Linked DNA regions of Solanum lycopersicum. The protein of the gene in region 3 interacts with the protein of the main gene of each other region in a pairwise test. Links are inferred from orthologs where the notes say so. Each region holds a gene or a part of one and is shown on either strand. Other genes may lie near its edges. The genes, in order: thioredoxin reductase NTRC, scarecrow-like protein 23 and B3 domain-containing transcription repressor VAL2.

The links.
Region 1: the proteins of B3 domain-containing transcription repressor VAL2 (region 3) and thioredoxin reductase NTRC interact in binary tests that used the Arabidopsis thaliana proteins (3 or more experiments, as listed by UniProt). The link is inferred for Solanum lycopersicum from reciprocal best matches to the Arabidopsis thaliana genes HSL1 and NTRC.
Region 2: the proteins of B3 domain-containing transcription repressor VAL2 (region 3) and scarecrow-like protein 23 interact in binary tests that used the Arabidopsis thaliana proteins (3 or more experiments, as listed by UniProt). The link is inferred for Solanum lycopersicum from reciprocal best matches to the Arabidopsis thaliana genes HSL1 and AT5G41920.

Annotation. Positions count from the first base shown.
Region 1 is NC_090809.1:60,630,025-60,633,781, forward strand, and holds the start of thioredoxin reductase NTRC, read right to left. Parts: upstream 2,371-3,757; 5' UTR 2,089-2,370; coding exon 1,809-2,088; intron 1,525-1,808; coding exon 1,317-1,524; intron 1,209-1,316; coding exon 1,103-1,208; intron 1-1,102. Other genes in the region: zinc finger BED domain-containing protein DAYSLEEPER, read right to left, coding at 3,013-3,757. UniProt on the Arabidopsis thaliana protein: Thioredoxin reductase (TR) that exhibits both TR and thioredoxin (Trx) activities. Contains a C-terminal functional Trx domain.
Region 2 is NC_090806.1:59,132,764-59,136,274, reverse strand, and holds scarecrow-like protein 23, read left to right. Parts: upstream 1-1,100; 5' UTR 1,101-1,392; coding exon 1,393-2,697; 3' UTR 2,698-2,907; downstream 2,908-3,511. UniProt on the Arabidopsis thaliana protein: Probable transcription factor involved in plant development.
Region 3 is NC_090809.1:57,733,592-57,737,348, reverse strand, and holds the start of B3 domain-containing transcription repressor VAL2, read right to left. Parts: upstream 2,493-3,757; 5' UTR 1,619-2,492; coding exon of another isoform or gene 1,597-1,618; coding exon 1,506-1,596; intron 1-1,505. UniProt on the Arabidopsis thaliana protein: Transcriptional repressor of gene expression involved in embryonic pathways, such as LEC1, ABI3, and FUS3. Repressor of the sugar-inducible genes involved in the seed maturation program in seedlings.

The DNA.
Region 1 (3,757 bases), about 2.9 Mb from region 3:
ATGAAGCCTAATGTGGGAACTACATACCAAGGGGAGTAAGACAACTAGAAGTTTAAGGAATTAATTTGGCATCTGCGACTGCAAGAACTAATGCATTTCAAGCCCAACATCTCTTACAACATATGAAACAAACACGCCCTTCCCTTTTGTTATTGCAGAGGGAATCAAAAGAGTGCCGGTACCACAAATATGGATGTATGTTTCATGACCATCTCATGTATCAGATGAACCTCAGAGAATTGAGGGATTATAGACGGAAAACAAAATCGAAGATGCTTCTTTCATTCATAAGGTACAGAGAACACGTCAGACTCTTATATCATGGCTAAGGTACTCTGAAGATATAGATTGTTCTTTACACAATGCAGCAAATTGATCTTTCTAAAAAATGCAGCAAATTGTGAGGCCTCTTGTTCTACCATGTCAGCATCTTTTACATCTCATAAAGGAAAGAGATACTAAAAAAATAGAAAACGACTTGTATACTTGTACTTAATCAAACCACTTCCGAATGGAAAACACGTAAACCCATAAAGAAGTCCCGGTGTAGTTAAAATGTCTCTGTACTTTGAAAAGAATTATTTTTATTGGAAAGAAAATGTTTCTGTCTAGAAGAATAAGAAAACCCAGAAAGTACGAGCTTAGATGCCTTCTATGTAATAGCATAATATATTTTTTATCCAAGAAAAGGAAAAATGTTGAATCTATTTCTCTTCTTCCATTACACGTCTGAAATCTGTTTAGCTTTTCAGTTCTCACTCCAAATGAGAATACATACGTTTATATCTAACTTCCTGTAATTTTCTGGGCACTGTTTTGAGAACATATTGCAAACTTGACAAAAATACATGAACTGTTAAATAGTTCAAAAGTGACACTCAAGAAAAGAAAAAAAGATTGCTGGGGTCTTGATAAATGATGGCCATCCTTATATTCTTTACCCCATAAAATTTGTTAAAACATCAGATATTAGAATTGTTCTTGCGTGGAATTTTAAAAGATGCTCCAATTCAGAATAGGCAAACAGTTTGATGGGGATTAAAGATTTAAGCAGTTATAACATAACCTAGACAAAGTAATCAGCAACTAAAGGATGCATCACCTTACGTTCACTACTGTGGACAGTAAAGGGAGCATTCTTTACATCAATAAATTCCACATCTTCCTGATACAATTCAGCTCCCCATCTCTCAGCTTGTCGCCTCATCCTACCAAAATTACATAATTTCTCAGCCTTCAACAAAACTTTTGTCTATAAAAGGAAACTTCAAATAGATATCTTAATGAGAGTAAATGCTCAAAAACTTTTCTTATACCTATCCATTAAGTCAGGTCCAGTTATCCCCTCAGGAAATCCAGGAAAGTTTTCTACTTCAGTTGTTGTCATCAACTGTCCTCCTGGCACACCACCAGCTTGAAACCCCTCAAACACTACAGGCTTCAAATTAGCCCGAGCTGCATAAATTGCTGCTGTATATCCAGCAGGACCTGATCCTATTATTACCAAGTTTTCAATACCCTGAGCTGGAACAAACAAAAACACCAGTATTCTCAAAATTATACAACTAATTGCATATAAACTGCTGACAAATGAGCTATTTCCAGCTGCAAAATCAACCCAAAAGAGCAATTTCCAGCTGCAAAATTAACCAGCATCATTTTATATTTCAAATGCAATTCCGAATTTCGATAATACTTATGCTCGACTTCAATTCAATCAACTAACATACCACTCCTAATTCACTTAATTGACTAAAACAAATTTAAAAAATACACTATTTATTCAGAAATGCACACTGTAAGTCTACCTGAAGAACTAGTTCCGACCGGTTCCACCTCCGCCGCAGCTCGAATCGAAAACGAGGACGCACGGCTGCGAGTCAAGTGACCATTAACTGAGTCAACTCGAGCAGCTCCTCCCCGTCGACTCGTACCGGAGTTGATAACGAGCAAACCGGTCGGAATGCAGTGACCGGTCGATAAAGCCGCCGGAGTAGCCGCCATGGAAGTGGATGCGGGTCGGATTTTGGTCCGGATTCGGATTCCGATACCAACGGAGTTTGTAATATTGGGAGTAGTATTAGCCATTGGTTTCGGAACGTAGATATCTCTACAGCTGACACAAATTTGTTTCAACTAACTATTTTCCCTTTTCTCTCTCACACACTTACACACACATCTGTGTGTTTTGTCTTTGGATTTGTGCCGTGTGTGTGAGATTTATTCGTAATTTTATGGGGTGAGGATAACCACTCAACGAACTATAATTTTTATTTTATTTTTTTCCAAAAAAAAAAAGAACTATATAAGTAATTTTATCAAAGTTCATTGTTTTTGGTCCTCTGAAGAAAAAATATTATCCAAACAACCAAATGATATTTTGTATTCAAAGTGTAATACATAGTTTTCCAGTGAGAAAATGTGTGGCAACAAGTTTGTCCAACATTAAGTATTGTTTGCTTTGTATTTTACTTATTGTTTGTCAAAAAATATAATTTTTCTGATAAATTTTAAAAGTTGCACTTCATTTTTCAGTGTCAAAAATTGAAAATTTTAAAGATAAATACACGATGTAAATTATTTGGATCATTGATTTCTAAGATAAATAAATTTAACCGGCGGATCAATAAGAAGCAATCTCTTTGCCACACAAAAATATTGTTAAGATCTTAATACATCCCACCGCCTCCAAACTACGAAGGGGAGACCAGAAAAGAAGACAAAACACAGAAGAATGAAAGAAAGTACAAGTCATTTGAGCAGCATAACTATACCAACATATTCATATCATGCACCAGTAAGCTGATTTTCATGCATTCAGAATTCAGACATCAATGAGTAAATAAAGAGACTGAAAATGGGGACTAAACTCTCCAGTAAGACTAGAGGTACCAAATTATGATACAAGAAAGTTGATTCTCAGACGACTCGACGAATGTTAATAGTCTTAAAGAAAACATCAATATGGCTAATAGAGCTATATTCTAGACAAGTATTTCACATAACCAAGACCTAAATCGGAACTTCCATTTTTATTGGTATAGGTGAAGTGTCTAAAGATGCATTCTGAAGCCAGTCCTTGGCACAGATGAGGGCCTCCACGGTCTCAGGACGCAAGGAACACCTGTAGTGATCCATCTCTTTGCTAACTGTGCTAAATATAGAATCAGCCGTTACTGTTGAAACAGGAACTGACAAGATGTCACGAGCCATTTTTGACAAAGTTGGGTACTTAATTCTGTTGAGCTTCCACCAACCCACCACATCAAACTCGTGAACACGAGGCAGCAAGGACTCTTCCAGATATTGATCAAGTTCTGACCTTGACTGCTGGCTCGAAGTCTCCATAATGTAGACGTCAAAATCAGTAAGTCCAAGCCCGTTACAAGAAGCGTCGAGGCCTTGTCCATCCTCCTGCCTCATACCACTGCCATTTACTTCTTCAACATAAGTTGGGGTTAGGGGTAGAGGAAGAGCCACATATTCATTGAAGAGCTCATGGATTCCTTCCTCAACAGTCTTCACATAAGCGGCTGCTTCTTCTCCATATATTTTGGAAAAACTGAACTCCACAAGTTTCATTTTGAAGCGTGGATCCATTACTACAGCAATAGCCAACATTAAGCAACAGCTCTTCCAATAATTATCAAACATCTCTTGCATCATTTTGGTAAGTCTGCTGGTGAATGGGTCTTCACTTGCTGCAGCACGAGCCAATTCCAATTGAATTTTCCACGCTTCATGGAAGAATGTGTTG
Region 2 (3,511 bases), on a different chromosome or scaffold from region 3:
AATATTTTCCCAAACAAATCTTCGAGAATCCCAAGATATTGTACTAGATCAAGCTTGCCATACTTTTTCCCTTTGGGTAAAATAATAGTGACAAAGCAACGTGGGGCATTGAAGCTACTTGGAGTAACATGATAACTACTGTATTATATTTGTTTGCAAAATGGAGTATCGAAACAGACGTGACAAGCTACTACAAGCATTTCTTTACAAAATTTTCAGCAACTTTACACTTCATTCTTACGATTTATTTATTAAATATTTTCTAATTTAGTATCTTTTTTTTTAAAAAAATAAAAAGATAATTTTACTTGTTTACATAGACTTAATATTTTTGAAAAGTGTAGTGGATAATATATTTGAGATTTTATCTATTAATATGGGTAAGATGAATTCACTATCTAAATTAATGTTTTCTTAATATGTTTGTAAATTCATAATTCAAAAAATAAAAAATACAGGAGATTATTATTCATCATGTGGGGTTCATGACTTGTCCACATTGTGGCAGAGTTATATGATCCTAAAGGTCATAATTCAATTGAATTCCTTTATGAGAAAAATATATTAGAAAATAAACTAAAATTGTTTTTTATATATCAAAAACATAAATCCCTTAACATAAAATAAAAAAATGAATTTAGAAGTAGCTTAGCACGGTTCAAACTTAAGTTACTCAGTCCATCTCTAATTCACTATTTTATTCATTCGGTAGCAGATCTTTTACAATTGAGCAATTTGAATTAGCTCTGATTTGTTTAAAAAATGTTATTTGGGGACAATTCAGTATAAATTGATATAAATTTGATAACCTAAAGCATTCGTCATCATAAATTTCAAATAGTTGATGAAAAAAAAAAGTTGTTTGAAATTGACTGATTGTACAACTAGTTTTCAAATATGTGATGCCTCCTTTAAATTTGATAAAATTGCTTCACTCGAAATTCTATTATGAATTCTTCTATGTTTTTGAGTAAATATAAACCGATTCGCTAACATTTTTTTGTTTCTTGAATTTCCTATATTAAGGTTAAATATTACTCTAAAATTAACCCAAAAAAAAAAGTAAATTTATTTAAAACACCTAATAATCAAGAGGGAGAACATTTATTTCCAAGGAAACTATGTTTTTTCCCTTGGAAGAGATGTGAATATATTTATAACGATGAATGAGGGATTATAATAATGGTAGTACTAGTATTATTAATAGGAGTATAGTATTTTTATGATTGAGGAAAAATTCAAACACAAAAATACAAAAACCTCACTTCAATGTGTCCTACAAAAGATGAATAATTCCAAAAAGTCATCACCCTTTTTTTTCACAAATCCCCCTTTCAATTATCCTCACCACTCATTTTTTTATTCTACATTCTTTGCCATGTGATGTGATGAATGATCATGCTTTTCGTATCTGCAATTCCAATTAATCATACATCTTCGTATTCATCTTCCATGTCTTCTAAGCGCTCAATTTCTGAGTTTACTCCGGTCTCAGATGAACCTCAACTTCTTACTAAACGGCCCCGAAATGAAAGGGGAGAGGAAGAGGAAGAAGAAGGTGAGGAGTTACTTCTCGTTGACGCCGATTCCATAGGTCTTCGCCTTCTCGGCTTGCTCCTTCAATGCGCTGAGTTTGTTGCCATGGAGAATCTCGATGAAGCTGCTGATTTATTGCCGGAAATCGCTGAGCTTTCTTCGCCGTTCGGCTCATCAGCTGAGCGAGTCGCTGCTTACTTCGCTGAATCTCTATCGGCCAGAATTATCAGTTCTCATCTCCGATTTTATTCTCCGCTTAACCTCAAATCCCTAACTCTCACGCATTCCCAAAAACTCTTCACCGCTCTGCAATCTTACAACACAATAAGTCCGCTCATCAAATTCTCTCACTACACTGCAAATCAAGCTATCTACCAAGCATTAGAAGGTGAAGATCACGTCCACGTCATCGATCTCGACATCATGCAAGGTCTTCAATGGCCAGGATTGTTCCAAATCCTCTCCTCTCGATCGAGAAAGCTCCGTTCCATCAGAATCACCGGCGTCGGATCCTCCATGGAATTACTCGAATCCACCGGCCGTCGACTCACCGAATTCGCCAACTCATTCGGACTTCCGTTCGAGTTTCAACCTTTTGAAGGCAAAATCGGACACATCACAGACCTGAATCAACTCGGAGTCAAAATTGGGGAAACTACCGTTGTCAATTGGATGCACCATTGCCTCTACAATATCACAGGGAGTGATTTAGGTACTTTCCGATTGTTAACTTTGTTAAGGCCGAAATTGATCACACTGGTTGAACAAGATCTGAGTCACGGAGGAAACTTTTTGAGCCGATTCGTTGAGGCATTGCATTATTACTCCGCCTTGTTTGATGCATTGGGGGATGGATTGAGTGAAGAGAGTGCAGAGAGGCATAGAGTGGAACAGCAGTTGTTCGGTAGCGAAATTAGGAATATTGTAGCGGTAGGTGGGCCCAAGAGGACGGGGGAAGTACCCGTAGAGAGATGGGGCGATGAATTGAAACGAATCGGGTTTTTACCCGTTTCATTATCGGGTACTCCAGCTGCTCAAGCAAGTTTATTATTAGGGATGTTTCCGAGAGGGTATACGTTGGTGGAAGAAAATGGGTGTTTAAAATTGGGATGGAAGGATTTATCGTTGTTGACTGCATCTGCATGGCAACCTTGCGATTAAGATAGCCCATTTTTTGGTTGTTGTTTCAATTTGTAAGTTTTGGATGATGTTACAAATACCATAACAAATTGGACATACTAATAAGTGAAAGTGCTCTTTGTTCACTCTGGTCCTAATTCTGAGGAGGCCCCTACACATATGTATTTGTGTTTATCATTCTTGAAAATTTTGTTCTTTTAAGAAAAATAGTAATTGCATTGGATTAAAGAATTCTTGTCCTTTTCTTTACTAAATAATTGTGGTGGAAGATTCTATTTTGTCTGTTACATCCTCTCTATTAGACCTTACATTTCCTTAAAAAATATTTTAAATTAAAGATATATTTTATGATGGCTAAAAACTAAAAGTTCGACCAAAATAACTTTGAGAAAATGCTCTAAAATCTTTCAATTTATAGTCAGATTTTCAATTGGATACTCATATGTCACGGAGTTACATTACCTTCTAGGCTATTTTAAAATGGAGTTATTCACTCTCTAAATGCTATAGAGTGTGTAGTTCACTCTGTTGGAGAGATTGAGAGCAAAAACATTTTTTCAATTTATGCGAAACTTTTTATTTTTTGATAGTCAAATAGTTTAAATTTAATCAAAATTTTACGTATAAATTTTCAAATTTTTAAAAATGAATTTATATATTTATAAACTACAGAATAATTATTATAAGTCATAATAAATAATAATTCAAAACATTAAAAGCTAGACTTATTCAAATCTTGAAATCTGAAAATGTCACATAAATTGAGAATGAAATAATTATTTTTGGAAAAATTAGCAAACTAGTCAAAATTAACAACTTAATTAGTAAAAAACTC
Region 3 (3,757 bases):
TTGCTTTGGCATCAATAAGTTTTATGCAAATGTGTCTACACTAGAAGCGTTCCAGATATAATTTCTCAAACTGGATGCCCTAAGACTCTGCATTAGTTTCAGTTTTCAGTTTATGGTGAAACTGTCATTAGCTACATTTTATTCCAAAGTTAAAGTGAATGTTTTTCCTTTCGGCAATGCAGGCGGTAGATTGCAAAAGATCTAAGTTTATCATGAATTTAACTACCAGTCATCTATCCTGACCAAGAAACAAAAGATAAACAGAAAAATAACAGAAGTAAAACAAACAAACAAAACAAAACAAAAGGGAAAAAAATAACAAATATTAATAATAAAATAGTTTCATTCCATCAGCACTGTATTATTTACTGTAAGTGAAATCACTGCATGCAATCTCTATTTCATATAAAGGCCAAAAAGAGCAAAAAAAGACAAAGTTGCTCCACAGTAACTTAACATGGAACCAAATAGACAATTCTGGAAAGAAAAAAAAAGTTATGCCATCACTTCAACACAGGGGCGGAGCCACCTTATCACTAGGGATTCATCCGAACCCCCTTCGGCGGAAAATTATATTATTGTTACATGGTTAAAATAAATTTTTAGGTATATACGATAGATGTCGAACCCCCTTCGGCTACTTCATGTGTTTATTTCTTCAGATTCTGAACCCCCTTATTAAAAATTCTGGCTCGCTTCAACGGCCTCACTTAGATCATAAGCCCATGCTCCTGATCTCAGCCAAGAAAAACCTCCCTATGACACAGCAAGAATCACAGATAATACAAATCCTTAGGAGAACGTAAGCAGGTTAATCTGCACTGACTTCCTAAAAGACAACAAGTGAAACAGAAAGAAGAAGGATTATCTTTCCCACATTTTGATCTTGCAGGATCTTTAATCTTTCCAGAACTAGAGTCAGTTTGAGCAACCATTACTAGGGTGCATGAACTGGACTAGGAACATATTATCCCAATAGAATTAATTCTCTCAAATTGAATATGCAATCTCTAATTTGAAAAGGTAAAGTAATTGTTTAGTCGAATTAAAGAACAGTCGGATAAAAGAACATGATTTAGCAAATATCTTTCAGCAAAACAAAAAGGATAATTCTCCGAGCTGCTACAGTATTCACCAACACAGTAACCTTAACATAAACACAGAAACTGTTCAGATTGTAAATACTTCTTCCGTTTCAAAAAAGAACAATCAGCTCAATAAACAAATTTCAAACCATCTCAATTAGTAGGACATTGATTCCTTAATCTTTTCTCGAATAAAATAAGCAAATTCAAAACCTATACAAAGAGTATATAAGTCAGAACATTTTTACAATGAAAAATCACTGTTTGACATTCTAAATGGTAATGTTATCATATAAAATGATCAAACAGAGTTGAGCACTAGGCAAACCAGTTTCTACAAAACAAAAAGAACAACAAAACTGAATTTACAAACATATATAAATTAAGTATAAAGAGAGAGTGAGATCTGAATTGAATTACCCGCACTTATCACAGAGGGTCGCAAATTCACCAGATCGCAAAGGCCACCCTTTTTTCCACTCAATTGAAGAAGTTGTCCCACACAGTCCATTCATGCAAATCTTCGACTCCATTCCTAAAATCCTTACCTCTAATCAAGCCCTAATACAGCATAATCTTCCTCTTAATACTCCATACGCAAAACCCAAAAAAAAAAAAGTTTTTTTTTAAAGCTAAAAATGAAGTCTTTAGAAAAACCCAAGTATGAAATAGTTGAATAATAAGTGTGAAGCAAGAATCTTGAAAACAAAAGTTAAAGACATAAAACTAAAGCTAGTAAGCTGCAGTGTTTGTGGGTCTGTTTTAAAATTTGTGATAGAGAAATATTAGGGAAGTTTGTTGAATTTCCGGTACCGGAACGGTGGAATTGGGAGAGAGAGAGAAGCGTAAAGTGTAAAACAGTTCAAAAATGGAAAAGGGGACATGCAGGGAGGGAGAGACTTGAAGGGTCAGCAAAGGTCGCCCGCCTTTCTCTTTCAGTTCTTCTTCCACTAACGTCTCTCTCTGCTCAATTTCTTTTTCACTTTATCATATCAGCTTTTCTTTTGAACATTGAAAAGAAAGCTTATGTTTATATAATTTGATCAAAAACATACAAGTTTTGTGACTAAATGCAAAGTAATAGTTAAGACCAACTATGTTGTAACCTCTCTCGTTGTTCTAGAAGAGATAGGATTAAAATAGGTACATTTGGAAGTGGCTTTGGTGCGGAAGTTAAAGATCGAGATAATTTTGAACATTTGAAAGTGATATGTTTTGATGTTCTAGTGTGGATGTGTGAGTGATTGGCTATAGATAATTTATATAAACAGAGATAAAACGAGAAAATAGTAGAAATGAATGTGTATGAATGGACGTGTGTTGATGAGGGCTGGAAATAGATGCTTAGGATCTTACGTAGAAAGATTAGGGAGGACACAAATTAGGATAGAAAATTAGAAGGTCATCGTGTGTTGTTTTATCATCTGTTCATATTAGTAGTTAGTGTTGCACTCGTAATTTCTAGTTCTTTGATTTTTATTACTTATTATCTTATATTTTTGGTCATCACATGATTCAATTATAATCATTGTCTTGTTACCATTAGTTATCTTGTTTGTATAATATTTCATGTACTTTAATCCATAATAATATCTCTATTTTTAGGTAAAAGATGATACATGCATACATTATATCTTTTCTAGAATCTCCGTTGTTGTTGTTATTAGTGTAGAGAAGTTTTGTGTGTGAAAGAAAATAACTTGAAAAAATAGTAATAATCAACTTTTCACAATTTAAAATCGATTAGAAAATAACTCCCCTTAAAAAGTAAGTACGAAATTTGAAAGCTTTACAAAGGGGTCTTAAACGGGTTTTTTAATGAAAGCTCTACAAAAGGGTCTTAAACGAGTTTTTTAATAAAAAAAGTGTTTTGTACATTTTTCTCTAAATTTGATTTATTTTTCTTTTTAGTTACCTCAAACAAGAATGACATGTTTATATAGCAAGTAACAATTTAACATTAAAATATTTATTTTACTTTTTATAAAATAACTTATAACAACACAAATATCTACTCTCTTCGTTAAAAAAAGGATATTAACGAAAAGGATGACCTAGTTTGACTTATAATGAAATTTAAGAAAAGAAAGAAGACTTGTTAATCTTGTGGTTCTAAATTAAAGTTATGTCAAATATATCAAAATGTTCTTTAATCTTGTGGTCTTAAATATGTCACATGGAAAGTTAAAGTTAAATTATTGTAAAAAAAAAAACGAAACATTCTTTTTTAAACAGATTAAGAAGAAAATAAAATCTTTTTTTTTTAAACACAAGAAATATCACTTATCTCAAATAAATTTCAAAAGTTTTCTTTTCATTTAAAAATTTTCTACCGATTCGAACTAACTCATATAAAATAAAATAAAAAACGGTGCAATAAAACAAATGGCTCATTTAGGAAGTGGGAGTCCTAATCAAAAGGACAAAAATCCACTTTGCTTTTCAAGTATGGTTCTTTTGGCTTAGTGTGTACGATAAGATTAGAACTAAGATTAATCATCATTGCGTAATTAAACAGATAAGTAAACAAATCAAAATTAGTTTATTCAATCCCCTAATTGATTACTTCTTCTACGCGTGCTATATCCTAATACTACAATGACATCATGCTTATCAAATCTTTAACCAAAAACCATTAACTAAAAAATTAGGTGATGAGGGGTGAGTGACTG